Notamacropus eugenii: one gene and its partners. The protein of the gene in region 1 interacts with the protein of each later gene in a biochemical or structural test. Links are inferred from orthologs where the notes say so. Each region holds a gene or a part of one and is shown in the gene's direction. Other genes may lie near its edges. The genes, in order: TJP1, KIRREL1, CLDN4 and CLDN7.

The links.
Region 2: the proteins of TJP1 (region 1) and KIRREL1 form a complex in vitro, tested with the Homo sapiens proteins (3 studies listed by BioGRID and IntAct, with this or other methods). The link is inferred for Notamacropus eugenii from reciprocal best matches to the Homo sapiens genes TJP1 and KIRREL1.
Region 3: the proteins of TJP1 (region 1) and CLDN4 form a complex in vitro, tested with the Homo sapiens proteins (2 studies listed by BioGRID and IntAct, with this or other methods). The link is inferred for Notamacropus eugenii from reciprocal best matches to the Homo sapiens genes TJP1 and CLDN4.
Region 4: the proteins of TJP1 (region 1) and CLDN7 form a complex in vitro, tested with the Homo sapiens proteins (2 studies listed by BioGRID and IntAct, with this or other methods). The link is inferred for Notamacropus eugenii from reciprocal best matches to the Homo sapiens genes TJP1 and CLDN7.

What each region holds. Positions count from the first base shown.
Region 1 is NC_092872.1:152,386,839-152,394,133, reverse strand, and holds the start of TJP1 (tight junction protein 1), read left to right. Parts: upstream 1-4,290; 5' UTR 4,291-4,379; coding exon 4,380-4,730; intron 4,731-7,295. UniProt on the Homo sapiens protein: TJP1, TJP2, and TJP3 are closely related scaffolding proteins that link tight junction (TJ) transmembrane proteins such as claudins, junctional adhesion molecules, and occludin to the actin cytoskeleton.
Region 2 is NC_092873.1:382,289,131-382,296,252, forward strand, and holds the start of KIRREL1 (kin of IRRE-like protein 1), read left to right. Parts: upstream 1-4,109; 5' UTR 4,110-4,263; coding exon 4,264-4,315; intron 4,316-7,122. UniProt on the Homo sapiens protein: Required for proper function of the glomerular filtration barrier. It is involved in the maintenance of a stable podocyte architecture with interdigitating foot processes connected by specialized cell-cell junctions, known as the slit diaphragm.
Region 3 is NC_092873.1:49,706,221-49,713,952, reverse strand, and holds CLDN4 (claudin-4), read left to right. Parts: upstream 1-4,919; 5' UTR 4,920-5,140; coding exon 5,141-5,770; 3' UTR 5,771-7,229; downstream 7,230-7,732. UniProt on the Homo sapiens protein: Can associate with other claudins to regulate tight junction structural and functional strand dynamics.
Region 4 is NC_092873.1:78,805,196-78,812,080, forward strand, and holds the start of CLDN7 (claudin-7), read left to right. Parts: upstream 1-3,866; 5' UTR 3,867-4,547; coding exon 4,548-4,770; intron 4,771-6,885. UniProt on the Homo sapiens protein: Plays a major role in tight junction-specific obliteration of the intercellular space.

The sequences.
Region 1 (7,295 bases):
TGATTGAATTAAACAAAAACATTTTTAAAACCTTCAGCTTCAAGGAGTGTTTTTCAGTCTGTTGATGTTAATATATGGACCTATAAATGTTACTTTTCATAGTCTAGTTCTAACTGTATGTTGGGATAGGGCATGTAGGTGAATGAACAATGAAAAAAAATTTCTTTTTAGCACATTTTATGTGCAGGCCCTGTGCTAAGGGTTTGGGGATGCCAACACCAACGTGCTAACATTTATATAGCACTTTAAGGCTTGCAAAGTACTTTACAAATATTGTCTCATTTTATCTTCACAATTCTGGGAGGGTAATGCTATTTATTTTTCCCATCTTACAGATGAAGAAATTGATTCCTCTAGAGGTTAAGTGATTTGCTTAGGGTCACAGAGCTAATATGCTGGCCTTCCTGACTATAGGTCCAGCGCTATCTATGGGGACACTAGCTAGGGATCTACAAAATACTAGTGTCAGGCTGTTAGGGAGTGTATATATGAGAGGGGTGGTCAAGAAAGGGAGTGTCTGAGAATTAATGAGATGGTGAGTTGATCAGTCAATTCATAGCCCACTCTAGGAATAATGTTAGTGTGATAATATCTGAGTTGATTACTGAATTTAGAGCCAGAGGTGAATGGATAGTAACAAATCTGAGCAGAAGGCTGGAGGGGAGATGAAGTATAATTGGATTTGGAAGTTTGGGCAGGACTAGATATAGTAGGCTAGCTGAGTTTGTGCTGCCCACTCACTAGTCAATATAGCTAGGCCTCAGAGTTGGAATTCCAAAGATAAGCGAATAAATTTCCTGTGGGCCAGGGGAAATTTTTTTTCTGGATGTCTAGTCCAGATGTACTGATCCAAATGGAGAGAAATACTAGAAGAGAAGATGACAAGATGGATAAGGGTGGGAGGCTAGAAGGGATGTGAAGCATGGTCCATGATAGTGTACAACATTTTATCATATTTTCCATGGAAATTGCTCTCCAAATTTCCTTACAGATGCTTTGTAACTGTAAGGTACCATAGCTGCCATGCTTTTTCCCACTTCTGGGCATGAAAACCACTGTACTTTGGGTCATTAGGACCTAAAGAATGTCCAGCACCTTAGAGAGTTCACTCCCTACTTTTAGTTAATTTCCAAGTCATATAGAAGACATCACCATGATATCTGTTGAACCATTATTTTTTCTATTGCCATTGTCCCCATCCCTTATTTCACGCCCTCACTACTATTAGTAGAATGTAAATTCCTTGAGGGCAGGGAATGTTTGTTAATCTTTTCTTTGCCTCCCTAGCACCTGGTACTGTGCCTAGTACTTAGTAATTGCTGAATAAATCCTTATTTGAATTGAAATCCCCCCCCCTCCCCCCCCCCCCCCGACTATTGCAGAAATGGCCTCTTAACTAGTCTCTTTTCCCTCTGCTACATTCTACTAATTGTTGAGAGATTAATATCCCTAAAGCACAATTTAGGTTCTTGCTCAAAAAATTTTAATGGCTCCCTATGGTCTATAGGCTAAAGCTCAAACTCCTCAACCTGGCATTCAAGGCTCTCCAGTATCATTCCAGCCTTGCCTTCCACTATTCCTTAAATAAAGCAGCTAAGAGATAATTGTTTCCTGAACCTGCTCCTTCCTACCCTTTCCAGTTACTTGGTTCTTATTGTTCTCTTTGCTTGGAATGCTTCACTCCCCCTCCCCCATCTCTTTAAGATCTAGATTAAATGTACCGCCTCTTTCATGAAGCATCTCCTAATTCCTCCAGTTCGATATTATCTTACCTTCTCTTATTCCAAACCCCATAGCACTTGACATACTCTGTTTTGCACTCTTTTTATTTGCATATTTGCCTTATCTGCGTCCCTGCTCCCCCAACTCATCTTCATGGGCCACCTCAAAGCACAGTTCCTTATACACAGGAGGCACTCAGTCAGTCAGTCAATAAATGTTTATTAAGTGCCTCCTGTGCTAGGCACTTGCACTAACTGCTGGGAATACACAGAAAGGGCAAAAGGCCTGCCCTAGGAGCTCACAATTTAATAACTAAAGAAATATGTACGAATAAGATATTGACCAGACAAATGAGTAATTAAGAGAGGAAAAATACTAGAAGTTTCCTGTAGAAGATGGGATTTTAGTTGGGACTTAAAGGAAGAGAAGAGGAGGGAGAGCATTCCAGGCATGGGGGACAGTCACAGAAAATTCAGACCTGAGAGATGGAGAGTCTTTCTTCTGGAACAGCAGGGAGGCCAGGGTATGGGATTGAAGAGTATGTGTTGGGAGAAATAGGGAGGAATCCTGGAAGCATAGGGAGCTACCCAGTTGGGGGCTGATATGGTCAGACCTACCCTTTGGTAAAATCATTTTGGTAACATTGGAGGATGGACCAGAGTGGGGAGAGACTTGAGGCAGGCTGACTTACTAGCAGGTTATAGCAATAGTCCAGGAGTGAGATGATAATGGACTGCACCAGAGTGGTTGCAGTGTTGGAAGAGACAAGGTGGCCTGATGGAGGTGTGTTGCAAAGATGAAACTGACAAGCCTTGGCAACAGACTGAATACTGGATACTATTCATGAAATGTGTATTATTTTTCTGTAGCCTTGCCATTATAACAGAACTGTAAACAAAACTTATTTCACTGTGCTCCTTATAAACCCCCATCTATCTTGTTTTCTATCCCTTCTCCCCAATAAATGATTTTCCTTTACTGTCACCAGCATGAATTATATTGTCATTAGCATGAGTTATATATACATGGGAAAAGCTCCTATTGGGAAAAGCTGTGGGAACCTTCAATGGAATTCTGCTCTTTATTGGTCTTGGAACTATGAGATCAGTTTTGGAGCTGGAAATGACTTCAGGGGTCATTTAGTCCAATCTTCGCATTTTTTCAGTTGAGGAGACAAGGAGAGGTTGAATTGACTTCGACTTATTAGAGTTTGCCTCCTTATGGCAAAATTAGTTGCAAAGAGGTGTCAGGTTTGATATACAGAAAAACTTCCTAACAAGTGGATCTGTTCTAAAGTGGAATGAACTGTCTTTCTAGGGAGCGTCAAGGTAAAATCTGAGGGACTACTTGTTTGGGTGTATTGTAAAGTACAGCATTCTTACACGTGGCCCCGCTATATCGGGGAGAAAAAGGAATTTTTCACTTTTAAACATGCAAACCCATGCACACTTTTGGTTAGTAGGGGAAAAATATGGGGATCCATTCCCCACCTAGAGAGTAAAGCCTCGAAGCTGGCTCCCTGTTTTGGTAGTGACCGGGGGGTGGGGTGGGGGTGGGGGTGAGACACGGCGGGGGGTGGTCTTGTGGTCCCTGCCTCCAGAGCCTTCTCGGACTGTCTGTATTTTGCTTAAACAAGAACAATAGCCCAGCTTCCAGGCGGGCGGTAGTTCCAAGTTCTGAGTACCTTGGACGAGCCCCAACTCTGCTTCCTTCCGTGCAGCCACATTCCTGAAGGGTTCCAGGCGTGCCTAGAACCCCGGGCTCCCCACGACTCTCCTTCGCTCTCCCCGCCCCCAGAAACGCCTCCGTGGCTCGGGCCCGAGGGCTGGGCATGCTCAGTAAGCAAGGGCAGATGTGAGCGCCGCTGGCCGGCCTGGGCTTCCTCGGCTCCGGCTTCTTGCGGCGCCCCAGTCCCTTTTCCTCCCGCCGGGGAGACTGTTGGAGCGGGGCTCGGGGGGCCCCTCCAGAGCCAGAGAAGGAGGTAACTCCCGGGGGCGTGCGGCCTGGGTCCGAATCTTCTCCGCCGCGGTCTCGGCTGGACGGGGCGTGAGCGACGAGGCCGGCCTTGCCCCAGCTGGCATGGCGCCGGTTGCCGGGAGAGACGGGTGGTAGCTGGGGCAGAGGAAGGAGCCCGGGGTCGCCCCGGCCCCGGCCGTCCCTCAGAACCCATCTCGGTTCCCGGCTTCCCCCGCCCGGGAGGCCCCGGGCCGAGCGGCCGCCGCCGAACGACTCCGGGACTTTTGTCCAAGTTGAATCCCCTCCCCCTGGGCCGGGCCTGCGCCGCCGGCCCCCGCCCCCGGGCCCGCTCGCTCGCTAGCTCCCGGGAGATGTTTATTTGGGCAGCGGCGTGAGAGGAGCGAGCGGCGGCGGCGGAGCTGGAGCTTCTGCCTTAGCGTGAGGAGCCTCGCCCGGCGCGGGAGAGACGCACAAAATGTCCGCCAGAGCCGCGGCTGCCAAGGTGAGAGGCCGTGGGGCCGGCGCGGGCGCGAGCGAGGCCGGGGTCGGGGCAGGGCCCGGAGCCCGGCCAGCGAGGGCGGGGGAGGCTCCCACGGCTCGCTCCCTTCTTCCCCCGTCGCCCACTGGCCGGCCGCGTCTGGGAGCGTCTCTGTGGGGGGCAGAGCCCCGGGCGGGACGAGGACCCGGCGGCGGCGGCCAGAATGTGGAGGTGCTGGCACGTCTTCACCGAAGGGACCTCCCACCTGTTGACTCTGGCGGGCTCGCGCCGGGATGGCCCCCCGACCCCCTCGGGCCGGCTCCTGCGGGGGCGCCGACCCCGCTATCCTCCCCCGACCCGGGGCCAGGTGAGCGGGGCGCCGGGCCGAGGCCCCGCCCCGGGAGTGGCCCGACTTTTAGCCCCGAGCCAGAGGGAGGGGCCCGGCCCGGGGCGGGGGGGCGACCGCGCGGGCCCCGCCGGACGGAGCCCTGTGACGACCCACCCGGGGATCGATCTTCCGGCCCAGGCGGAGGCGGCGGAGGAGAAGAAATACCGGCCGGGGGAGTCGGCGAAGGTGACAGGAGGGCAGGCTTGTTGGGTGGGGCCGCTGTGGGCGACGCCGAGGCAGGTGCATCCTCCGGGGGGCGGGAGGGGGAGCCGGGCGGGCCCCGCCGCGCTGGAAGCGCGTTCCGCTCCCCGGTGAAACCGGCTGGTTTCGGTCTGATGTCACCGATTGCGGTATGCGCTCCCTCGCTCGGCCGCGATAAGGCTCCGGACCGACCCGCCGGGACCGCCCTGGGCCAGCGAGCCGGCGCCGCCTCGGCCGCCGAGAGTTTCCCCGACTTAGCGCCTGCAGTTTTCACTTTAAAACTTGGCTGTGGCCGAGGGCCGAGCTCGGAGAGCCGAGCGTCTGTGTTAGGAAAGCCCTGCCCACGAGCGCTTCCCCTGCGGCTCTTTCCGTACGCTGTGTCTTGAGAAGTAAATGTAACTTTGACAAAGATTTCGAAACTCTAAAGTGAGTTTAGTAAGTTAATTCAGTTGGTTTCTGTGAGCGGCGCTGAAAGCTTCCCCTTTCTCCCTGCATTCGAAGCCCTGAGGCTTGAAACCAGTTAAGTTTTTCTTTATTGGAAGAGAACACATGTTCCTACATGGGGACTCCTTGGAGGCCGGCTGGCCTTCGCCCTGGACCTGCGGTTTGGAAAGTGTTATTTTGTAGCGAATACTGGTTACTAAAAAGAGCGAGCAGACTGACTTGGAAAGAAACGTGCGGACCACTTGATGAAGAATGTAACCCCCCCAGCTGCGCAACAGTGAAGTAGCATCTCAGAGCAGTTTGTCACTGAACTCCGAGTGCTTGGTTTACCTTTTCCTATCAGAAGGAGGAAAAAAATATTGTCCTTGACACAGAATACTACTTGTGAGCAGCGGAGAAGTAAACGGGAAATTAAATAATACTGGAATTTTTGTGGTAGATTTTCAGTAGTCTTAGACTAGGAAATGTTTTCTTTGGGAGAAGAGAATGAGGAATCCTTTTTCTTACGTTTGTGGTCTTTTTGTGGATATGATGTATCGAAAAATAGGGCTGAGTATGCTTATACTGCCTATATTCATGATGAACATTATAATTTGGTGAGGCCCCTTTTTTGCAAATACCGTGGAATATATGTAACTGATTTTGACCTTAGTTTCCCTAACCTTAACAATACTTACATTTACAATATCTTTTTGTTTGTTTATTTAAAAAATATGAACATACCTGTTAAGAGAAATACTTTAACAAAGATTTTATTGAGGTTTTCTTAGCACTGACCTCACCGGATTTTTGTGAGCATAAAATAAGATAATCTTATGTAGTCCTTTAAATGTTAGGTGGTATTATTATTATTGAGAAGCCTTCGTTTTAAGTTTTCTAGTACAGCATACTGAGCCTCAATCACTAGAGATTTGATGTACCGTTTCTGCAAATTCTGAATCAAGGGCTTTTTAAGATCCTTGACTCTTTTCTCTAATTTATTGGAAAGGTTTCAGTCTCTGGGGTATTTGGGGAGAAGAGGAAAGTGTATTATTTTATATTTGTTCCTTTTTATCTGGCACTGCAAACTTAATTTTGACCGTGGTTGTACTCAGTGCAGAATAGGAAAAACAATAAAGTGATACTCTTCATTACCAAAGAACTATTTGAGAACTGAAGATAAGGCGTACACATGGGAAATCCCTTTTAGTGGTTTGTTTATAACTCTTTAAATCACCAGAGACTGCAGAAGGAATCTTTTTGAAACTGGCATCCAGGTTTTTGAGCTCCTTTGCCCTAGAGGGAGCAGTGGAATTTAATTTGAAATTTGGGCATTAAATGTGCTTATAAAATTTTACTGTGTATTTTTAGGCACAGTTTTCCATATGTGTTGTTGGAGACTTTTCTTTTTCCTGTCATGAATGACAATAATAGTGCAAATTGTTGAAAAAAATCAAAACATAGTATTTTATACACACACACACACACACAATATGTACATATATCTACATCTAGCTTATCAAATGAGGTACAGCTCTATTTTAGCAATGGCACAGCACAGTTTCATAATTATGATGTGCCAGCTACTTATTCATAAGACACTGTTAAAGAGATGATTGACTTTTGTTCTTTTAGGTCTGGGTTTCTTTGTGAACAAATATAATGAGGTGGTTAAGATTTTCAATCAGTCAAGTAATTGAGGGTATACTATTAAAAATTCACCTTGTTTCTGAAAAAACTTCGATCAAAGTTCTTCAATTTATGTTCTATTAAGAAATCTAGAGTGTGAAAGCTAAACTTATCAATTATAAATTGGTAATACTACTTATGGTAATTGCTTTCCTTCTTGATCTCTGAATTTGCTAAGTTATGTGGTGGAACAGGGCTCATTAATGTGGGCTGAAAACTTTTGTTTCAAAGCTTTATATATTTTCATTTTGAAAACTCAGGCATAATGCAGGTTCTTTTTTAGGTTGCTTTTAAAAGTTGTTTAAGAAAGCCTTGTTTTGTTGTTGTTGTTTTTTTTTTTTACTACATACTGCTCATCAGTGAATTATAACACAGTAATTCTCTAAACAAACAAAAAAATAACCACACTGCTGTGTAAGTAATGAGATTGAAATTGAT
Region 2 (7,122 bases), on another chromosome or scaffold:
GTTCTCAATTCCCCAGGTGAACTTATCTCTAAAGTGCCTTCAGTCCCTTGCTACTAAACACACCAGACTCCTGGCAGATCATCTGTAGGAGGTAGATCATCTGAGTCTTGGAAAGCCAGAGGTGGAGCTCAGAGGGCACTTGATTCGACCTCCTCATTTCCCAGATGAGAACCTCAGGCTCAGAAAGGTGGAGCCAGCCAGGGGTCACAGAGGTCCTTTCACTCCAAGGCTCATACCACTCCACTACAGCCTTCCTCCTCATCTCGGCCAAGTCAAATACTACTTTCTAGATCTCCAGGACTCCTTTGCTCTTCTTATCTAGAATCTTCTGCCCAGTAGTAAGACCTCCCCCTCTAAGTTCTAACCTTCTGCAAAAATTCTGCTGCAAAAAAAGATCCCTGCCCTCTGTCAATAACAGCCTTATCCCAGTATTCCCAGTCTAGCTCCCATCCCTTCTTGTTCCCAGACCTCTTCATCTATGGAAGGCAGAGAACAGTAGTGGTTCCCAGTTCTGGGGTGACAATAACTGGCATGTATTGAAATCTTTATCCAGACCTTAAGGTTAAAGGAGCTAAGACTTCCTTGGGATTGTTCCTTTCAACCTTGAAGACGCAAGGAGCTGGATGGATGTTGTTCTGGGTGTTATCACTGGGGCAGCTGACCCTTCAGTGAGATTTTGAGCATAGCTAGGAGAGCCTTCACTTTTCAGGCTGGAGGAGAAAGTAGGGTGACACTCAACTTGCAGCCTTGCCAGGTGGAACTTTCCCCAGATCAGAACCATCTCTCTTTCCTTCCTTTGAAAAGCAGGGCACCTCTCCACCAAGCAAGTTAGGCCAATGTATTAGGTGGAGTATCCAGGGAGGTGGGGATGTGGTAGGGTCAGCCTACTGTTCCTTTCCCTTCTCCCTATAAAAGTACATTCATTGCTAGTTCCTTGAAAGTCCTATGGGACTTTGACACCATTGAGAGGTGTCTCCTAATCTCTATCTTCCTCCTGGGGCATGTCAAATGCTAGGCTCTTTGGAAAGGGCAGTTTCAAGAGAAATACATTATTAGCATTGCATTAGGGAGGACTGATATGGGAGAGTAGTAAGGACTTCTGAGCAGTCAGAGCTGTGAGATGCGAAAATGACAGAGGGGGGAACAGGGATGTCCCTTTCCCAAAGATAATGCAGGTGAATCCCTCTCTACTCTAGACTGGAGTCCCTGGAAGCCTTGCCCAGAGGGAGGAGGATGGATAAAATGTACACTGTCAATCTCCAGGACCTAAAGTCCTTGTATCCCTGACTCCCTCCTGAGCTGAAAATCTAGATTGCATCCCATCTTTCCCTCCTCCCTCTTCCACAGTCAGCAGGGACATGATCCTCTGGTGTCTTTGTGGAGGAAAGAGGACAATTTATAGGATTGTTTTGCCCACATCAGCCTACATCAAGAAAAAGAATTCATTCCCATCTCTTGCAATGACTTCTCCCACTGATGGTCATAAATTGCCCAGCCAGGTTCCTCCCTGACCTCTTGTTCCTTTTGTACTCAAAAAAATGTCTTAATATTTGTCTTGACTCTATACACCATGCTGCTGCCTCTCTTTTTATGCAGGAGTAGTGAGTGGGTCCTTAGAATTCACTTATCCAGTCTCTATCAATACCATATTCCACTATTCAATATACTTCTGTTCTGGGTGTTGGAGAAGGACATTCAGGAGGAAGATATGACCCTACCCCCTAGGAAGCTCTCAATGTGATGGGGAACACAGGATGTAGTCCTAGGGCTTAGGGACAGGACAGATAATTCAGTAAGCCAGAACTCTAAAAAAAACACCAGTACTTCAAGAGTGGATAGGGGTTTGTTTTTTCCCAAGGGGTAGGGAAAGATTAGTAAGAGAGGAAAGTATAGGTAAGATTTGAGAAGAACCAGGGAAGAAAGCTTGAAGTGGAGAAAGGAAGGAAGGGAACCCCAATGGTTCAACCACTAGGTGTTCATGAGGGATGGAAAACTGGATTTGCTTACTTATCATGTCTTCAGCCCGGTTGGCTAGAGAGAGTGAGGATAAATGCATACTGTGAGAGAAAGCAAAGAAGTGTTGAAATCAAGGAGAATGACACTGGATCTAGAGTGGTGCTGTAAGAGAGTGGTTAGGGTGGGAGGACACTGGAGGAAAGGGGCAGGGGTTGATGGTGGGGTGTGCAAGAGAAGAGGTAAACTGCTTTAGCTATTAGTAGCAAGCTAGAGAAATCTCCCTAATTTGTTTTCAGGGTGGGAAATGTGTGACATGTACCATCCTTAGATCTCTCATAAGGAATGAATGAATTTGGGGCTAATATTAAAACCATAAACCAAGTTAGTGGACCTTAACTGGGGGACTTCTGCCCAATCCTCTCCTGGACACTTTCATAACTTACTGAAAATAATGTGACTCCTCTCGGCCCCCACCTCCACCTCAATGCTCCTTTTCTGGGCTGGGAGGAAGAAGGCACGATTCTGGTTCTGTGGGGAAATGAACATGAGGCCCAGGGGATAGTGATGGGCCTGGAGGTGAACCAGAGGCAGTGGCGACCATCGATCAGCAGAGGGCAGCCGATAGCCACTCGTATGAACGGAAAAGCGGACTGCCATTCCTAAAAGCACTTGGATTGAAAAGATGAGGCCAGGGTAGGGGTTGGGGGCTTGGAGTGCTGGAAACAGGGGAAGAAAGGAGGCCTACGCCTCTCTGGATCACATCAGCATTTGCAAAGTTATGCAATCTCTGAGACTTCTCCCCTCCGTCCTCCCGCCTCCCCCACTTCGCTTCTGCCCTTCTCCGTCTGGAGATCCTTGGAACTCAGGCGTCCGGGGTGCCCGGGAGCCTCTCTCTCTGCTAGCGCACGGGGCTGTGAGTTGAGCAGGGGGATGGGGAGAGAAAGGCGGATAGTGTCACATGGTTCGTGATAGAAAGAGGGCACTGGGTGCCTGGGTCCTGGAGCGCAGCTCCCTCTCTTTCTGGGAATCCCCTCCCTTCCCAGTTTCTGTATCTCAGCTCTGAAGGCGTCCCAGATTCATGGGTGCTTAGAGATCCGAGCATTCTCTCGTATTCATCATAAAAGGCCATTCATGCTCGGCTTTTTAAAAAAATGTTCTAGTTTGCTTCTCTTAGGGAAAGGCTGGAGTAAGAGATCAGCAGAAGAAAGGAAAGGGTGTCCGAAGGTAAGGGTCACCTCTTAACTGGGTGCCACTTTTCCTCGTCCTGGTGGCACCAACAACATTTAACTTGCTCTGCAATGCAGCTGACCGGGGTGAAGCAGCCCCTTGAGCTTGGGACAGGAAGACGCTTGTATTCGGATCTGAGCCCCGTTATCTTTGGGTATGGGAATTAGGGAGAGGGGACGCATACGCCCTAGCTTTCAAGAGCATTTATTTGGAAATGGAAATCTGGCCTCCAGGGTTCTTCTTTTCCCCAGAGGTTTCGAGCAGGGATGGGGTGGGAAAGTATTCCCAAGCTTCCCAACTCCTTTAAAGAATTTTCTTCCTCTTATCACATTCACAGTCTAGACTCTCCCTGCCCCACTCCAGGAAGAACTGGCAATCCAGATGCCTTCTCTGGAACCCTCTCAACCCCCTCCTAGGAGCCCCAAGATACCCGGAGTGCCTAGGGGGAAGGGTCCGCACCCCACCCTACCCCCGCCCAGCGCCTGCAATGGTTCCACCTTCTCCTTTTCTTTCTCCTTCTTTCGCTCCCTTTTTCTCTCGCGCGCTCTCTCTCCCTCAATCCCTGTTTCTGCGAGGTTGTAGGGTTTTGGTGGTTTTTTTTTTCTTTTTGAAGGGGAGGGAAGAAGGAGGGTAATGTGGGAGGTACCGTCGGAGGAAAAGTAGACGTCAGGAAGAGGGAAGGAGGGAGGGGAAGAGGAAAGAGAGGGAAAGAGAAAGAGACTCAGCGAGACAGAGATATCAAGAGACAAAGTCAGACAGAAAGGGAGATTAGAGAGGAGAAGGGAGAGAGAGAGAGAGAGAGAGAGAGAGAGAGAGAGAGAGAGAGAGAGAGAGAGAGAGAGAGAGAGAGAGAGAGAGAGAGAGAGAGAAGACTGAGAGGGAAGTGTGTGTGTGTGTGTGTGTGTGTGTGTGTGTGTGTGTGTGTGTGTGTGTGTGTGGAGGGGGCGGGGGGCGGGCGGGGGGCGGGCCCCAGGGCTCCCCCTCCTCCCCCCAGCCCTCTCCTCTCTCTGTCCCTCTCTCACTCGCCAACTCCGGGCCCCAGCCGCGGGCGGGCGGGCGGGCAGACGGCGGACGGACAGCATGCTGAGCCTCCTTGTCTGGCTCCTCACTCTCTCCGACACTTTCTCCCAAGGTAAGGACCCCCGATTCCCCACCACACTCGATCCCTAGTCCCCTGGCCCTACGCCTCCGAACCCCCTGACCAGATCCTCCTGCTGGGGGCTAGGGGCTGAACACAAGAAGGGGTTCGCGGGAACGATGGGGAAGTAGTCGGGTTACACTCTCCCCACTTTGCCCAGCTTGGGGATGGAGGTGGCGGTGGGAAAGGGGAGGCCACGAGGTGGGCAAGGAGGTGGAGGTCGTGGAGAATCCGGGGAGGGGGCGAGCGGAGTGCAGAGGGAAGGGATGAGTTTTCCTTTTGATTTCTCCAAGTTGCTTTCTGTGCCTATGCAGAGCGATGGGGCCCGGAGGACCAGAGGGTTTGGGGATGATGGGTGGGAGTAAAGAGCAGTAGGACAAAGTGATCCCTACATCCCCCAGGGTCGGGGGACTTACACTCTAACAACCTGGAAACTGGTCCTGAATATGGCCAAAATCTTGGATGCCTGGGTCCTTGCTAAAGGCGCTAGGATTTTCTGATGCCTGGGATATTAGAGTATGGGAGGGGTCTTGCCCTTTGTGGGGGTAATTAACTCTGAAAACCCCCTTAAATGTAGAGCTGCCCTCTCCCTACTCCAGCTGGGGCCCTGGGGGTGAGGATAAGAATGGAGGTAAGGAGAATCCGTAGCCACAGCCCCAGAGCTGGCTTCAACATGGTGGGGCGAGTTGTTGAAGAAACTCTGGTTAATATCTCTGGCACAGAAATTGGGTATTTATTTATTTTGGTGGGAAGGGGTTGCCAGCATTCCCCCCCCCCCAATTTTGGGGTTCCAGGGTGTGTTGGTGGCTTCAGTTTGCTTAAACCTGACTTAGAAAATGAGTGAGAGCTTACGGGGGTTACCCTGGAGTCTGTGGTCCTCACTAGAGGGCAGAGGAAGATGCTTCTGACTTCTGTCGATTCTCTGGTCATAAGGGTTGGATGTAGGAAGAGGGGAAGGGTGTCATAGTGACCCTTCTTCAGGTAGAATCAGTAACTGGGACAAAGACCTGTGGAGTAGGGGACCTGGCCTGATGGATCTGGTTGTAGGGGACAAAACAGACACACAGATTTGGACACACTGAGACAGACAATGAGTCACACACATAGACACTGAGACACATACTCAGTCGAGCAGACAGACACATGCACTAAGAAACAGATACAGAGTCCTACCAAGATAAATAGATCCACCAGGCTAGACTGCAATAAAGAATGACACATGAACTTAAGACATAGACCTACATAGAGTGGCATAGACACATTGTGAGATACACATAGACACACAGCTACACGTATACACAGATACCCACGCACTAACTCATCCATACCAATACATAGTCACATTCTGATTCTCCCTCCCAAGCCACATATACTCCATGAAATAGATACAAATAAACACATCAACAGATACAGGCTTACACATATATACGGAGAGGCATCTATGGATACCCCCTTAAGAGAGAGAGAGAGAGACAAAGAGATTCAGACCTATAGACATACATGCATATAACCTACAAGAGACATGTAATACTCACAGTGCAAAATGGAGGGGATGATCTTTTATTTATTTATTTATTTCTGGTGATGGAGTTGGGGGAGGAGGTGAAGGTAGTCTCTAGGCTAGGATGCTGGATTGGGGGTTTGCTCTGCCCACTGAGTTGCTTATACGAGCATTTATATGTTTGTGGAGCTGAGCGTTCCTCCTTCCTAATTCTGAAAACAAAAATTGGCTAGGGTTGGGCTGGGGGAGGCCTGATTCCTGGTTCTCCTTCCAAAGGGCTTTGGTTCCTCTTTCCCCACCCCACTCCCCTAGAGGGGAGAGGGAGCACATGGGTGGGGGTGGGGCTGGTTCTGAGGAGGAGAGGGGGACCGAGGCCAGAGCCAGGACCCAGCCTGGCCAGTTAGCAAAAAGTTGGAAAGATGACTTAAGTTCTGACTTTGCTCAGCCAGGCTGCTGAAGAGGGAGGGGACAGATTGGGGGAGGAATGGCTGCTTGGGTCTGTGCATAGGGGTTGTGGGGGAGGGGTTTATGTACCATGTCCATCCCCCTCTTCCCGACCCCCCCACCCCCAACACATACTAGCAATATGGATGTGCCTGAGCCTCTAGGAACAAAAGCACAGCTTGCAAATAGGAGAGACATGTGGATTGCATCGAGGACGGAAATGGTCAGAAAAAGAAAAAGCACATTCTCTCTCTCTCTCTCTCTCTCCCTCTCTCTCTCTCTCTTTCTCTCTCTCTCTCTCCCTCTCTCCCCCCTCCCTCTCTCTCTCTCTCTTCCCCTCTCCCGCTCTCTCTCTCTCTCTCTCTCTCTCTCTCTCTCTCTCTCTCTCTCTCTCTCTCTCTCCCTCTCCCTCTCCCTCTCCCTCTCCCTCTCTCCCTCTGTCTCTGTCTCTCGCCCCCTCTCCCTCTCCCTCTCTCTCTCTGTCTCTCTCTCTCTCTCTCTCTCTCCCTCTCCCTCTCCCTCTCCCTCTCTCTCTCTGTCTCTGTCTCTCCCCCTCTCCCTCTCTCTTTCTCTCTCTCCCTCTCTCCCCCCTCCCTCTCTCTCTCTCTCTCTCTCTCCCCCCCCCTTTCTCTCTCTCCCTCTCTCTCCTCTCTCTCTCTCTTTCTCTCTCTCTCTCTCCCTCTCTCCCCCCTCCCTCTCTCTCTCTCTTCCCCTCTCCCGCTCTCTCTCTCTCTCTCCCCACCTCCCTGGAAGGTGTGTGTGTGTGTGTTTCTGTGTGTGTGGCCTCCCCCACTACTACCCCCAAACAGGAGGCAAAGACAACACCATATAAATGTGTTATGCTTTATTGTGGTAT
Region 3 (7,732 bases), on another chromosome or scaffold:
TTTTCATTTGGGCAGAAAAAATCCTTATCTGAGTTTTGATGACTTGAAAAGAAAATGATCAATAATGGCTAAGTGGCCACTGAGGCCACTAAAGGCCACTGAGCCTTTATTTGAATAAGTATAGAGTCATGATATTTCATAAATTAAGCCCTATTTTCAAGGTTGCAATTGAATGAATGAATCAATGAATGAGAGAGAAAGGAAGAAGGAAGGAAAGGAGGAAAAATTAAGAAAGGAAGAAAGAAAAGAAAATAGAAAGACAGAAAGTTTTTGAAACCCATAGAGAGTTGGCTTTCAAATACAGAAACTGAGTGGGGGAAATGTAGGGAGCTAAGGGCTAGGGTTGGGAGGGGAGAGATGTCATGACCAGAGGTTGGGGCACTAAGGTCAAGAGACAGGTCTCAGGATAGCCTAAAGTTTGGTGTGATTGTACTGAAGGAGAGGGGTAAGATGGGAAGAAGGTGCAAACATTCAGGCTACTTGTATCCAGAGGCAGCATGGCATCATGCAACAAGAAGACTAGATTTGAAGTCAAAGGGTCTGGTTTTAGCTCCTGCCTTTGTCACTTACTAGATGTGTGACTTTGGGCCACAGTTGGCTCATTTGAAAATAAAGGATTGGATTAGATTCAACAGAGTTCTTTACCTTTTCTGGATCATGGTCCTGTTTGGTAGTATCTATGAATTCCTTCTCAGAATCCTGTTTTCAGATTCATCAAACAAAACACATAAGATAACCAAGAAAACTAATTATGTTGAAATAGAATTATTAAAACATTTTTTAAAAAATTCACAGATCCCAAGTTAAAAGCCTCTGGAGGTGACATCTAAGGTCCATTCCATCTCAAAGTCTGTGATCTTATGAAAAGAGATAATCTTTAGGACCAAGGAGAAGAGAAAGAGAAAAGAGGAAAGGACTTTCTTCCTGAAGGAGGGTAGTAGTAATTACCTGAACTGTGAGGGATAGGAAATGACAATAACCATAGGGAGTAACCAGGCAGCCAGGGTGACTAAACCAAGTGTGTGTGCACAGTGAAATGCTTTCTCCAGAAGAGAGAGTTTCCTGTGCGGGTCCCTGAAAGGGCACCAGATGGATGGCATGGGCCCCCTTGGTAAGGAAGACTAGATTTCAGGAATGCAGGCAAGGAATGCACTCCCTCCCCCCCTCCAGCTTGTAGGAGGCAGAGAGGTACATGGGAAAGAACACTGGCTTGGGAGTGAGGAAGCCAGATTTAGATCCTAGCCCCTTATAAACCTTGGGGTCAAGTCACCTTACTTTCCTGGGTCTCCATTACCTCATCTGCAAAATTATGGCAGTGAGTCAGATGGCCCCTGAGGACTCTTCCAACTCTAGATCAGGAATTCCTGGCTTCCTTCAAGAGTCCACATCAAAGGATTGGCTTATATATCAGTCCTGTCCTGAGACTGTCCAGCTGCCAGTGCCCCTCCTCCCTAGTACTTTTTTTTCTTTAAAACTTGGTATATGGTTTTTTTTTTTTTAAATTTATTCTTGAGTAGAATGTAATTTCCTTGAGGGAAAGGTTTGTTTCTATTATTTTGTGTTTTTAAAATTTGTATTCCCATTAACCAGCACAATTCCTGACACATACTAAGTTCTGAATATGTCTGTTGAATGAATTCAATAAATTCACTCAAAAACATGTGTGGAGTGAATGAATAAATACATGGACAGAGGGACGGTCATCTTTAAAAAGTGACAGTGAAGAGAGAGACCGTCGAAGGGATTTGGAGAGATTGCCAAGGGCTGCAACTGGGTCATGCTTTATTAATATATTTCTTGTATATTTTTGGATGTGAGACCATGAGAGTGTTTTTGTTGGTAGGGTTTTTTTTGTGGGGAGTTTTGGAGGGAGGAGTAATAAGTGAAATTTTTTTAGAAGGCGGTCTTTCATGAAAGAGGGTTTCTGTGAAGGAAGATTGGTCCCTGAGGGTTTGGGGAGGAGGAGCTAAGAACCAGATGACCAGCTCTGAGATCTGGGGATTTTATTGGTTGGGAGAAGAGAGGACTTTTAGCGGTTTGGGAGGCAGGTCATGGGGCATGGTTTGTAGGACGAAGAGAGGGTTTTAGAAGTTGGGAAAGGTGAAGGAGTGTGGGCAGGGCTGGGGGAATTTTGGGGATATCTCACAGGGGAAGTTTAGGCTCTGCTAGGGTGGGGGGATGCCCTATAGTACTGTTCCCAGGAGCTGGCTCCAGTGGGTGTGTCTAGGTCAGCTTGACTGGAGGTCCGTCGACAGTCATCTTTGCTCTATCTCCCTGGTTCCTTTGGTAGAACAGGTTCTTCCAAATAGTTGTTGCAGGTTTGGCTGGTACAGAGATAGACTGAGTTAATCATCTGCTTCCTGGGAACTGCCTCCCCCTGACCCCCAAGGTCTGCAAACATCTTCAGAGAAGGACCCTAGATTCACAGACCTAGAACTGGGAAAAGACTTTGGAGGCTAGCTTGTCCAACCTTCTCATTTTACAGATGGTGAAACCAAGGCCCTGAGAAGTAATGTTACTTGCCTGAGGTCACAGATAGTAAGCAACAGGCAAGATTTGAACCCAGATTCCAGCTTTTCCAAAATCAGCTCGTTTCCTACTGTACCACTCCTGGTAGGGCAGGGAGAAGGCAGCTGAGAAAGCCAGAGGACTCCTCTTAGGAGGGTGGGGCCCATCCTCAGCAGCAATCAGTCAACATGTACTTATTAGGTGCCTACTATTACTAGGACCTATGAATACCGATATAAAAATAAAAGTCCCCACACCCAGAGAGTTTTAATTCTATCTGGGGTTAGCAGGAATTTGCATGGAACTGCCCATTGGCTCTTTTTTCTTTTGCCCCCATATGTCTGACCATAGCTCCCAACAGCTACAACTTTTCCTCTGAGGTCATCATGAGGATGCCTGATTTCTTCTTCCCTCCCTCCCTCCCTCCCTTCCTTCCTTCCTTCCTTCCTTCCTTCCTTCCTTCCTTCCTTCCTTCCTTCCTTCCTTCCTTCCTTCCTTCTCCCTTCCTTGACTCCTTGACTGGTTCAACCAGGCAGCAGCAAAACCTGTTTATTTTTTTCCTCTACCAATGTTTGTCACTTCTCTGCTTTCCTTTCTGTTCCTACTGCCAACACCTTCATCCAGGCCCTCATTACCTCTCATCTGGCCTATTACAGAAACTTCCTAATTGGTTTCCCAACCACTAATCTCTCCCTCCTCCAATCCAGCCTCCTCTTGCCTCCAGATTAATCTCCCTAAAGCAATGAGGAATCCAAATTACCCAGGCTGGCACCATCCTTATCTCACCCAACTCCCCCACACTTTACCCTGTTCTCCAATGGACTCCTCCCTATGCCTGGGACACACCCCTCTAGTTCCTACTTTGGTGTTTTTTCTGCCTCCTCTCCCAAGAGGTCCTCCCTCTCCACCTCCTAGCAAAAGTCATCAGGGTCCAGCTCCAAGGACACCTCCTACAGGAAAAACCTTCTCTGATTCCCCCATCCTCACCCCCCAGTGGAGATCTCTCTCTTTTACTGACTTCCCCTAACACCTGTTTGTGTATCTTTGAAGGCACTTATCACTATTTCATTCATCACTACTTATCCTACTTCATCTAGTTCTTTGGGTAATTACCCACTTCCCCTTTGTAGACCAAGAGCTCTTTGGGGTAAGGACCATTGTGAATCCTGTTTATAATGTCTTCTTATAGACTTAAATCTGGAAGAGACCTTACAAGACATCCAGTTCAAATCTATCATTTTACAGATGAAGAAACTGAGGCACAGGGAGATTAAGAGCCTGGATCAAGGTGTCTCAGACAATAAGGAGCAGCACCAGATGGTTAGTCTGGTCCAATCTCCCCCCTCATAGAGCTAGAATTACAACCCAGATCTTCTGACTCTAATGTCAACACTCTCTATGGCACAATGCTGTCTCTCCAGCTCTGTTACTTCCTGTCTGTCTCATCTCGGGCCAACTGTGTTCTCTTTTGAGCCTCAGTTTCCTCATCTGTAAAACAAAGGAGTTGTACTAAGATGGCCTCCAACCATTTTTAGATTTGTGGATAGATCAGTCAATATCCTCAGGGGACATGGGAAATGTTCCTGAAAGAGACTTCGTCCTACACCCTTACCCCCAGTTCAGTAAGGAGTACCTTTTAGACTCTCCTCTCCTTAAAGAAGAGAAAGGGGGATGGAGGATCAGAGGGATTAAAATCAGAGTGATTAAATTTTCAACAGGGTTGGGGGGAGGGGCGGCGGTCCACTAATGGGTTAAAGGGACTGGATCCAATTCTGAACACCTAGCCCCTCGCTCTACTGGATGAAATTGTGCAGGGTAAGTGCTGAGGCCAGCTAGGAGGATGCTGATGAGATCCTGCCAGCAATGATGATAAGACTAATTATCTTTGCTATTGCTTTTTAAAATCGGGCTGACAGCAAGGGTAGCAGCCTCCTTCCCCTGGAGGATTTCCACACCCCACCACAGCAAACGCTCAGGTCTCCCCTCCCCACCCGAGGTGGAAGAGAGGTGTTCGATCTAGGGGCGAAGCTGCACTGAGGTTCCCCCAGACCCGTCTCCCGGGGATTTGGGCCCCTGGCTCCCTCCTGTCCTTGGGGAGTCACCCTCCTGATGGGGCGGGGCCGAGGGAGAGGGGGGAGCTGACTCAGACCTGTCTGTCTCTGATTTGACCTCAGCACCCTAAGACTTTGAAGGGAGAGTTCAGTTTCCTCTGAGACTCACTCTCCAGGATGTCAGGCTGGGTGAGTCAGGGCCCCAGTCTCCTCCCGGGGGCCTTGACCTGGGGCCTGAAAGTGTCTTTGTCGCTCGTTAGACTGGGAGGAATCTAGAGAAACTGGTCAGGTGGAGGCCCAGGTCGAAACCCCGCCTCCTCCTTCCCCCCTCCCCTTGCCACGCCCTCAAGCCTTATAACTCCCTAACATCTGGCGGGAAGCTTCATCCGTTGCACCTGCTAGGAGAGGAAAGGTCTTATCTTTATCTGCCTTGCCTTGGACAGTGCCCATTCCAAGCTCCGTCTCCTTGACTTCCTCTCTGGAGAACTTGAACCTTCGATCTTGCACGCCAGCCCCTCCCAGCACCCGGCTCCAGCGCCCCTTGCTTCTCTTGGTTTTCGGCTCTCTCTCTGGCTGAGGGGATGGGGTCCATGGGGCTCCAGATAATGGGCATTGCCCTGGCCGTGCTGGGCTGGCTGGCTTCCATGCTCTCCTGCGCGCTGCCCATGTGGCGGGTGACGGCCTTCATCGGCAGCAACATCGTGACTGCCCAGACTATCTGGGAGGGTCTGTGGATGAACTGCGTGGTCCAGAGCACTGGCCAGATGCAGTGCAAGGTGTACGACTCGTTGCTGGCCCTGCCCCAGGACCTGCAGGCGGCTAGGGCTCTGGTGGTCATCTGCATCATCGTCGCAGCGCTCGGCGTCCTCCTGGCCCTGGTGGGTGGCAAGTGTACCAACTGTGTGGAAGATGAGACCTCCAAGGCCAAGACCATGATCGTGGCTGGTGTGGTCTTTATCCTGGCTGGCATCCTGGTCATTATTCCCACCTCCTGGACCGCCCACAACGTTATCCGGGACTTCTACAATCCACTGGTGGCCTCTGGACAGAAGAGGGAGATGGGTGCTTCTCTGTACATTGGCTGGGCTGCCTCAGGCCTGCTCCTGCTCGGAGGGGCTCTGCTCTGCTGCAACTGCCCACCCCGAAGTGAGAAGTCCTACTCGGCTAAGTACACTGCTGCTCGCTCTGCCCCTACTAGCAACTACGTGTAGGGAGCATCGGGAGGACATTGGACAGAAGGGGAAGAGGGACAGCGAGGCCTTTGGTGGTTGTCCTTCCTTGCCCTCACCTCCTTACCTGTGCCCTAGCTGGATGCATCCTTTTCTCTTCTATTCTCCCTGACTGTTTGGGCCCAAGCATTAGGAAGAGACTGAACTCTCGCCTGGACAGAGAGCCTGGCCCAAGCCCCATACCTTTCCCTATGCCAGGAGTCTGGGGAGGTGGGAGGGTAAGGCTGGGTTGGTGCCTGTTGGAATCAGAAGAGCAAACAATGCCAGGGGGATGCCACCTGTTCTAGCTGGGGCACCCTCTCCAGCCCCTCCCTTCTCTCAAAAACACCCTCACTTATCTCCTTCTGGGGGTACTTGGAAACCTAGAACTTTCTCTTCTGAGAAACACAGTGGGAGTGGTCTGGGAGGTGGGAGGAGGGCTGTGACCTTCTGGGAGACCGAAGCTGGTCCTCCAGTTTCCCAGAAGAAGAAAGAGGAAGAGCCATTGGTGGAGTTGGCTGAGGTTCCCTCCCTTTCCCCTTCTCCCCCCCACCCCCCTCGCCTGGGTGCTCCTAGAAGAGGAGAAGGAAAAGACTAGGACTGTGGTTGAGCTGGCTGAGCTAGCTCAGTCCTTTACCCAGGGGCTCAATGTCACAGAGTCAGTTCTGGCTGGTTCTCCCCCCCCTCCCTCCTGGAGTGTGTGTGTGTCTCAAATGGGCACATCCTCAAACCTATTTCCAACCCTGTATGTACCCTCTGTGATTCCCTTATCTCCTCCTTTCCCCCTAGTCTATGAGGGTTCACCTTTTGTACTATAGCTTCCTCTAGAAGTAAAAGGGACCCTCTTGAAGGAAACAGGAAGCCCACCCGCTCACCCCAGTGGCTCATTGAAACTCAGCATCTTGAATAGGCAGGGAATCAGGTGACCCAACCCCTTCTCCCTTCTCTTCCTTAGTGACAGGAGCCACAAAGTGGGCCAACTGGTTTGGGAGGTGGCTAAATGAGGCAGGTCCAAGGAGGGGTAGATGGCTCACATTGTCTCCTCCCTGCTCTCTCCCATTTCCCCATTTGCAAAGTTCTCAGGACAAACAAATGGGGAGGCGACTTTCCAGAATCTCTGGTTTTCCTCAGCATTCCCCTCCCCCAGAACCTCAAGTGACTCAGTCCCTCCCACCTCAGCACAACTCAGCTTTAGAATCTGGGGGGTGGGGGTGGGGAGAGGAGCAGGGCTTGGCAGAGCCCTGGAGAAGATGATTCTGAGGAGCTAGGGCTTGACTCCTCCAAAGGATTTGGGTGGGTTGGGGAGGAGTGAGTGCAGATGAAGGGGCATTTCTCTGTTTTCCCCCTCCCCCCATGGTTTTGGCAGCTTCCTGCCTAAGACAATGTTTCTATTTTGTAATTAAAAATAAATCCATAAATTGTAATTATTATTTTCTATAATAAACTGGATCTGTACATGGAAGCATTGCCTCTTGGCTGTCTGATTTCAATTTTAGGGTGGAAGGGATGGAATAGGGCCAGGGGCTGAGGGTGAGAGAGGAAGAGGTAGGAGAGGGAGCCTTGGGGGTCTAGTGAGACAAGCTGAATCTCAGCTGTCTGGGATAACCCAAATAAACTAGATTTGGAATTGGTGTCTAGGGTACCAAGTATCCTAGGAAAGAGCCTGCTGGACATGGGCTCTCTCTCAGTGTCTTTTAGGCACATGTTCCATTATCCTTGGGGCCAAACTCTTTAAATTCTACCTTCATTGAGTTACAGAATCATAAGTTTGTTTGTTTTACCTTGAAGGGATCTTGGAAACCGTCAAGTCCCTTCAGGCCTATTCTCCATGCACCTGAATGGTAGCTAGGTACATCACAGGACCAGGTGTGTCAGGTATGGCCACAGGTCACAGAATAAAAGTAGGAATGAGGGTAGGCGTGGTGAGGGGGACAGGGGTTTAAGTATGCAGTTGAGGATTTCTAT
Region 4 (6,885 bases), on another chromosome or scaffold:
TCAGATGTTCCTATTTGAGTACAAAATTATGCCGGTTGCTTCAAACCTCATATCATCAAAGTCTCCTGAATGTGATTCATAACACTCAAAAATATCTATGGTCCAGAAATGCAATTTGGTTTGACAGCCTCATTGATTGGTACATATACCTTGGATAGGCACTACAAATGGACAGTGGGTAGGACTCAGCATTAACCACAAGAAGGAAAGTAAACTGGACTGTCTATGGGAAGTTGCAAAGCTCCTTTCATGACACAATTGTCTCTCTGAAATAAAGGTCTAGATTTCTAATATCACTATTCTACCAGTCTTATTGTATGGCTGCAATATATGAAACACTTCGGTCTCTAAAGAATTAAAATGGATTATCACTAAAAGCAAAATGGAGAAGTACACAACAAATAAGGAAATAAGAGGAGTCAGAGTAAAGGATGCTATCAAAGAAATGTATGATTGAAAAAGAATGTACACTGGTCATAAATGGTAATGTAGTGCAATGGAAAGAGGTCTAGATTTGGATTCAGAGGTCCTGTGTTCAAATCTCATCTTTCTATATCTGTGACTTTGACAAAGATGCTTAATCAGCTTTTTCAACTGTAAAATAAGAGGCTTAGATTAGATGGCTCCTGAGGTCTTCTCCAGCTCTGGATCTATGATTCTTTGAATCCATGTGAGCCCAGGCACTGTCAAGAGAAAATAAAGAGTACCCCCAATATATAGGGTGGGGCCCCCTATGAAAAATTTATGAGAAGAGTCACACTAGATGGGCTGGCTTAGATGGATTGCCATTCTTGAATATGGTAAGATCACAGACTCGTTTGAATTTTAGCATATATGTGTGAGAAAAGATTTTGGATGTGGAGTTAATTGAACTGTAATTGGCAAAAGACAAAGTGTAATATCCTATAGATCCCCTGAGAGGGGAAAAGAAAGGTATTGAGAATAGAAGTTGGGTCAGTCAGCTCCCAATAACAATCATCAGGATGGTTACACAGTCCAAGGATAGCTTGGTTATTCTTTGTCTGTGATAGAGGTGGAAACTTTTGTATGTAAGGAAGGCTTAAAAATTAGGCATTCAAAATTTTAAGGAAGTGACTTTTCTTGTCATAACTAGAGACACAGGAGAGAATAAGATCAGAAGACAAAAGGCAAAAAAGGGTACGATTGAAAGAAAGGGGAGAAAGTGAAGGATGAAGATCAGAACAGGAAATGAGAAGGATAAAGTAAGAGGGAGGTGATTAGCAAAGATTAGAAAAGAAGATGAGAAGGGAAATAGAGAGACAGAAAGAAAGATAGATATGGGAGGAAGAGATGATTGAGAGACAGGAAGAAAAAGGACAGAAATGGGGAAGACAGAAAGCATGAGGCTGAGAGCTATCAAAAAAGACGGGAAAAGAAATAGAATAGAGAGATGTAAGAGAGAGACCTGAGAAGAGAAATTAAAAGAGTGAAATGGAAATGGAAAGAAAGATAAAAGAATGATGGAAAGAGAGATATGGATAGCAAGACTGAGGAGAAGAGAAAAGAAAGGGATAGTCACTCAGAAACTAGCAATCTTGGAATAACTTCTGATGTTTTCTTTTTCCATATGCTATATATCCAATCAGCTGCCAAATTCTCTTGATTCTGTCTTTGAAATCTCTTTACTTTCATATGTTTTTCCTCTATACTGCAGTCAAACTCTATCTTTTCTTGCTTAGGCTATCATAATAGTCTCACAATTGGTCTTTCTCCAATTTGATGTACCACCATAGTCAGATCATTCTTTCATACCCCAAAACTTTGGTAATTCTCCACTGTCCAAGGAATAAAGTATAAACTCCTTATCTTGGTATTAAAGTTCCTCTACAACCCCAAACTTTACAGTCATATCATACTTTACATTTTCTGTCCTTTTACAGTACAACTTAACCATTGTCTGAATGGACTTCCAAAATAAAGAAGCTGCTCAATCTGAAGAGATCCCTCCCTTTCCAGCACAGGTCAGGACTCACCTCACATGAAGTCTTCCCAGTAAGAAACTCCTTAGATTTCTCAGAGCACTTTCTCTGGACTTTTCCAATTCATTTAATGTATCCTTCTTATAATTATGTTGATGCTCCTACACTCCATTAGATTGTAAACTCCTTGAAAGTGGGTCTGTTTCATGTTTATTGTTTTATCTTCAGCAATATGCTTTGGAATTTAATAGGTATATGTTGAATTGAAAATGAAACTGAAAGAAGAGTGATGGAGAAGACAGATATAAAAGGAAGGGAAACAAATGAGAGAAAAGGGAAGACAAATGGAAAGAATGAGATTGGAGAAAGTGAGGATAGGAAGAGATCTGGAAAGAGAAGTATAAGATATCTAGGTTAAAGAAACAATGGAAAGAAAAATAAACAATATAGAAGAGAGATGGAGAAAGGCTAAGTTATCACAGGCAGGATAATGGGGAAAGAAATGAAGAGAGATTGGGGAGAAAACTATATAGAGAATATAGGAGGGGAGAATGATAGAAAGAGATAGGAAATGAAGGGAAAGAAGTGGAACAAGACATGAGGAAGAGATGGAGAGGAATTGGGGAGAGATATAAGACAGAAAGAAATGAACAAGAGATTGGGAATAAGAGGGAAAAGATGGAGAGAGGGGGAGAGATATGAAATAGGGGTAATATGGGGTAGAAATACAGACAGGAAAGATAGAAGACAAAGATTGATAGGAAGATAGGGGAAAGAGATGCTGAGAGAGATGAGGAAGGGAAAGTTAGAGTGAAAGAGCTCTTCATAAATGTGATAAATTATTATGGAGCCAGGGGCCACCACTGGGAGATGGGAATGGAATGTACATGACAGGAGTTAAGGTCTTATGATGAAGTCCAGAGATAGGAATGAATATTTGGGAGGGGAAAAGGGGTTATAGTAGAAAGAATTGACATGGGGTAGAGACTGAAAGAAGGGGATGCAAGGGAGCAATGAGGAGTGAAAGCAATACCATAATTATTTATTAAGTTCCTATTGTGAACAAAGGATTGTTACAAGGCACTAAAAGGTCTAGCAGCTGGAAGGAAACTCAAGAGACCATGTGGTCATTTTACAGATAGGAAACAAAAGTCCAGAAGGGTTGTTAAGTGGCTTATCCAAAGTCATACAGGTAGTAATGATCAGAGCTGGGATTTGAACCCCAGCCAGGGGCCACGCTCTTGCTACCTACCAAGCTTTCCTCCTCCAAGCAAATTTGAGCTAAAACATGGTCCCTATCGATATTTTGGAGCTTTCTCTAGGTAGGGTATGAGATAGGAGCATACCATAAGTATGAGCTTTTATATACCGGATAGACAGACAGAGAAATGCAGAGCAGAAAGGAGGAGTTCAGGACAGGTAGACTTGCTTGCACTAGGAGGAGCTGGTTCTCCATCCCTTTCCCACTGGGTGGCACCAGGGGCGCCGGTGTCCAGGGACAATTTGCTTGGGTGAGGCCGAACTAGGCTTTAGAGCCAAACGAAAGGGGGTGGGGGAGGGGAAGAGGAAGGAGAGGTCAGACAGTGTGTGGAGGGACCACAGGTGACTCAGGGAAAATGGGAAGGAAAATCTCAGGTAGTCAAAAGTCCTCCCTTCCCTGAGGAGCCTCAGAGACCCTCAGGTTGTTCCCTGCTTTCAGATCCTCCAGATGAGAAGTGGCACATCCCAGGGTTCCAGACTCCGTACTCCACTGTCTCACCTGTGCAGGTGTGTGTCTGGGGGACTTCCGGTCTAGATGACTGTCCCTTTCTGTGACGTCAAGTCACCTTCTCCAGTACCTCTTGGCCACGCCCCTGTCCCTCTCCCCTTCCACTCTCCTCCCCCTTCCCCCTCAGGGTCTTATAAACAGGTGCTCTAGCTGCACCTGTCCCATCCACCCTAGAGCTTAGCTGCCATTCTGGACCGCATTGCTCTGGAACTGAATTGTAGCCCGGCAGCCACTCCAACTGACTGAAGGCTGCGGCAGCTGTGGGAACGGAACTTTGGGGGGGGGGGGGGGCTTTTTTACCGGCCAGGTGAACTGAACTAGCTACTCTAGTTGGAAGTCTCTAGAGACCCGGGGACCAACCTCTGCCGTTTGGCCCGATAGGCTTGCTCACCTTTTGTTTGGGTAGGGTTGGCAGCAGCGCTAGAACGCCCCGGAGGCCCCTAAAAACAAAGCGTGGGCATTGGGGAGTTCTACCTTCTACCCTAGAGTACCTTTCCTTTTGTCTGACCTAGGGACTGGGGGAAGGGGAGCGGCGACCTCCTTTTTTTTTTTTTTTTTTTTTTTTTGTCTCCTGGTCCCGCCTTTCCACCTACCCTGCTCACCTAGGGTCCCCCATCTGCCCCGCCCCACCCCGGGAGAAGTCTCTTCTGTTTACTGTAGGGTGTTCAAAAGGAGAAAATAATTATAAAATTGTAAAGGCTCTGACCATAGAAGTACTTTTTCAGGATTCTCTCAGAAAACACCGCCAAGTAGGGGAGTGAGGGGTACTTTGTAAAAAGTTGCCCCAAAGACTTTTTTTCGTTTATTGTAGGATCTTCTTTTTTTGGGGGGTGGGGAGGATGGCAAACTCTGGTCTTCAGCTGTTGGGATTCGCCTTGGCCGCTCTGGGGTTGGTGGGATTGATAGCCTGCACTGCGATCCCTCAGTGGCAGATGAGCTCCTATGCTGGAGACAACATCATTACTGCCCAGGCGATGTACAAGGGGCTATGGATGGAATGCGTCAGCCAGAGCACCGGCGTCATCAGCTGCAAGATGTACGACTCAGTCCTCGCTCTGTCTGGTGAGGCTGGGGAGCACCTGTCACTTGAGTTCCGACGGGAGATGGTGGGAGGAAAGGGCGGGAAGTGAAGGTGCTGGGGGTGAATGGGGAGGGGATCTAGGTTCTCGGAGGGAGAGCCACAATGGGAGAAGTTTAGAGGTCTAGAGGCTAACGGCTCACTTGAGGTCTTTCTGGTTGAGGGAGAAGTTGGAGGGAAGTTGGGATGTACGTGAAGGAGGTCGAGGTGAGGAGGAGGGAAGAAAGCTGAGGTAGGTGGGGATGGGGATATCTGAAGTTAACGAAGCCTAGGTGGCCTGGGTGGGGGGGAAGATCCTGTGTTCAAGGAGGGAACGAAATTACGCGCGCTTACCAGAAGGGGAAAAGTTTAAGACCCTCTCCCTTCCACTTTCCGATTTCTCGCCTTTCCCCTCCTCATCTGGCCCCACTCGCTATAAAACTTCTTTGAGTTAGATGTCCCTCCAGCTCCTCACCTATCCACCTCCAGTCTTTCTTTCTCCTCCATTAAGTGAAGGCTCTTAGAGGCCACTGAGAGGAGAGGGACCAGAAAGTGAAGGGATTAGGGTGGTTTGCAGTGTGAGAAGTTTGAGGACTGAAGGGATGGAGAGTGCTTGTGTTTCTTTGCGTCCCAACAAGGGTAGGGGCAGAGGGAAATCCTGAGGGGACATCGGCAAACTAGAGCGCAACAGGAAAACTGGGGGCCGGAATGCCCGAGTCTCCGGGAGACTCGGGGCCTGCAGCCACAGTCTCTAATCTTATCTCCCTGATTAGCTATAGTAACTAGCACCCGAGGCTGCTGATAGTAAGGCCGAAGGGAGGTCAAAGGGAGGTTCGGCACTCGGAGCCTGAGCCAGGTTGGGCTTCGGGGTCTTTGGAGGGGCTATCTCTGTTTCCCGAAGCCGCTCCCCCGGGCAGTTTCACCGAAACTTGGGCGCCCCGGGCGTTGTCCATGAGCTGAGGCGAGGCTCCTCGGGCGGGGCGAGGCCGGGACTGAACAGGAAGGCTCAGGTGCGGGAAGAGGAAGCAGGAATGGAGGAGAGAGAAGGATCAGGCTACTGCTGGCTCGCCCCAGGATGAGGGGAGAGTTGAGGGGCCTCTCCTCAGGCCTGAGTATGTGGACGAAATTGGGACTGGTGGTTTAGATACTGAAGTAAGGGATGAGGATTAGGTTTGCGAGATGGTTGAAAGATGAGCCACTCCCGAAGGGTACAGGGGTCAGTGGGAGGGGAAGGAAGACAACTGCTCGGTATAGAGGAAGCTGGGATACTTGCATCCCGAGAAGAAATGAGGCCCTTGGCCTCCTAAGTATTTCTTCTGTTCGATAAAGTGCCTTACTTAGGTGTAATAAGGTCTCATAGTGGATCCAAGAAGTAGAACTACAAAGACATACAACAGATCTTGCCCTTTAGGAACCTCGGGTGGTTGCTGTGAGGAAAGTTCTAAATCAGTAAGCATTATAGAAACTATAAATATGTACTGTTAATTAACTACAACCCAACAGTGAGGGGAAGGCATGAACACAGTTACAAAACGGACAATAGGTATTCAAATAAGAGATACGGACAAAGTGCTACTGAATAGGGAGAGCTTACTTGAACACCTTCTGGAGCCAGGACTGAAGAGGGGTCTTGAAGGAAAGGAAGGTAGAAATGGGATTCCATCTCAAATCCAGTCAAGGAAGAGAAAAGAGTAGTCAGACAGAAGAGAGGACAAAACTGGATGAATAATCAGTCCCCTTTGGCAGACCACTAGAGTATATTTAGTGTAATAAGGTTGGAGTCAGATATTACAGATAACCTTGCACTGGAAGCAGAAATTTATTCCGTGTGGACAGAGAAAAACTGATGATTTTTGAGTAGACAATGTGATCCGAGTGGGCCACTGAAAAATATTAACTTGGCACCTGAATAAAAAATGGATTTGAGAAAGGGAAAGATTCCAAGTATAGACTAGTGAGGACACAGATTATTAAACTGTCCAGGTCAGAGGGTAAGGGCCTAACCTACAGTGGTAGCAGTGTATATGAAGAAGACTAGGTGCGAAAAATATTGGAGTAGAATTGTCAGAATTTGGAGACTGTTTGGGGTGGGGAGGTTTTTTAAGGGAAAGGTGATGAAT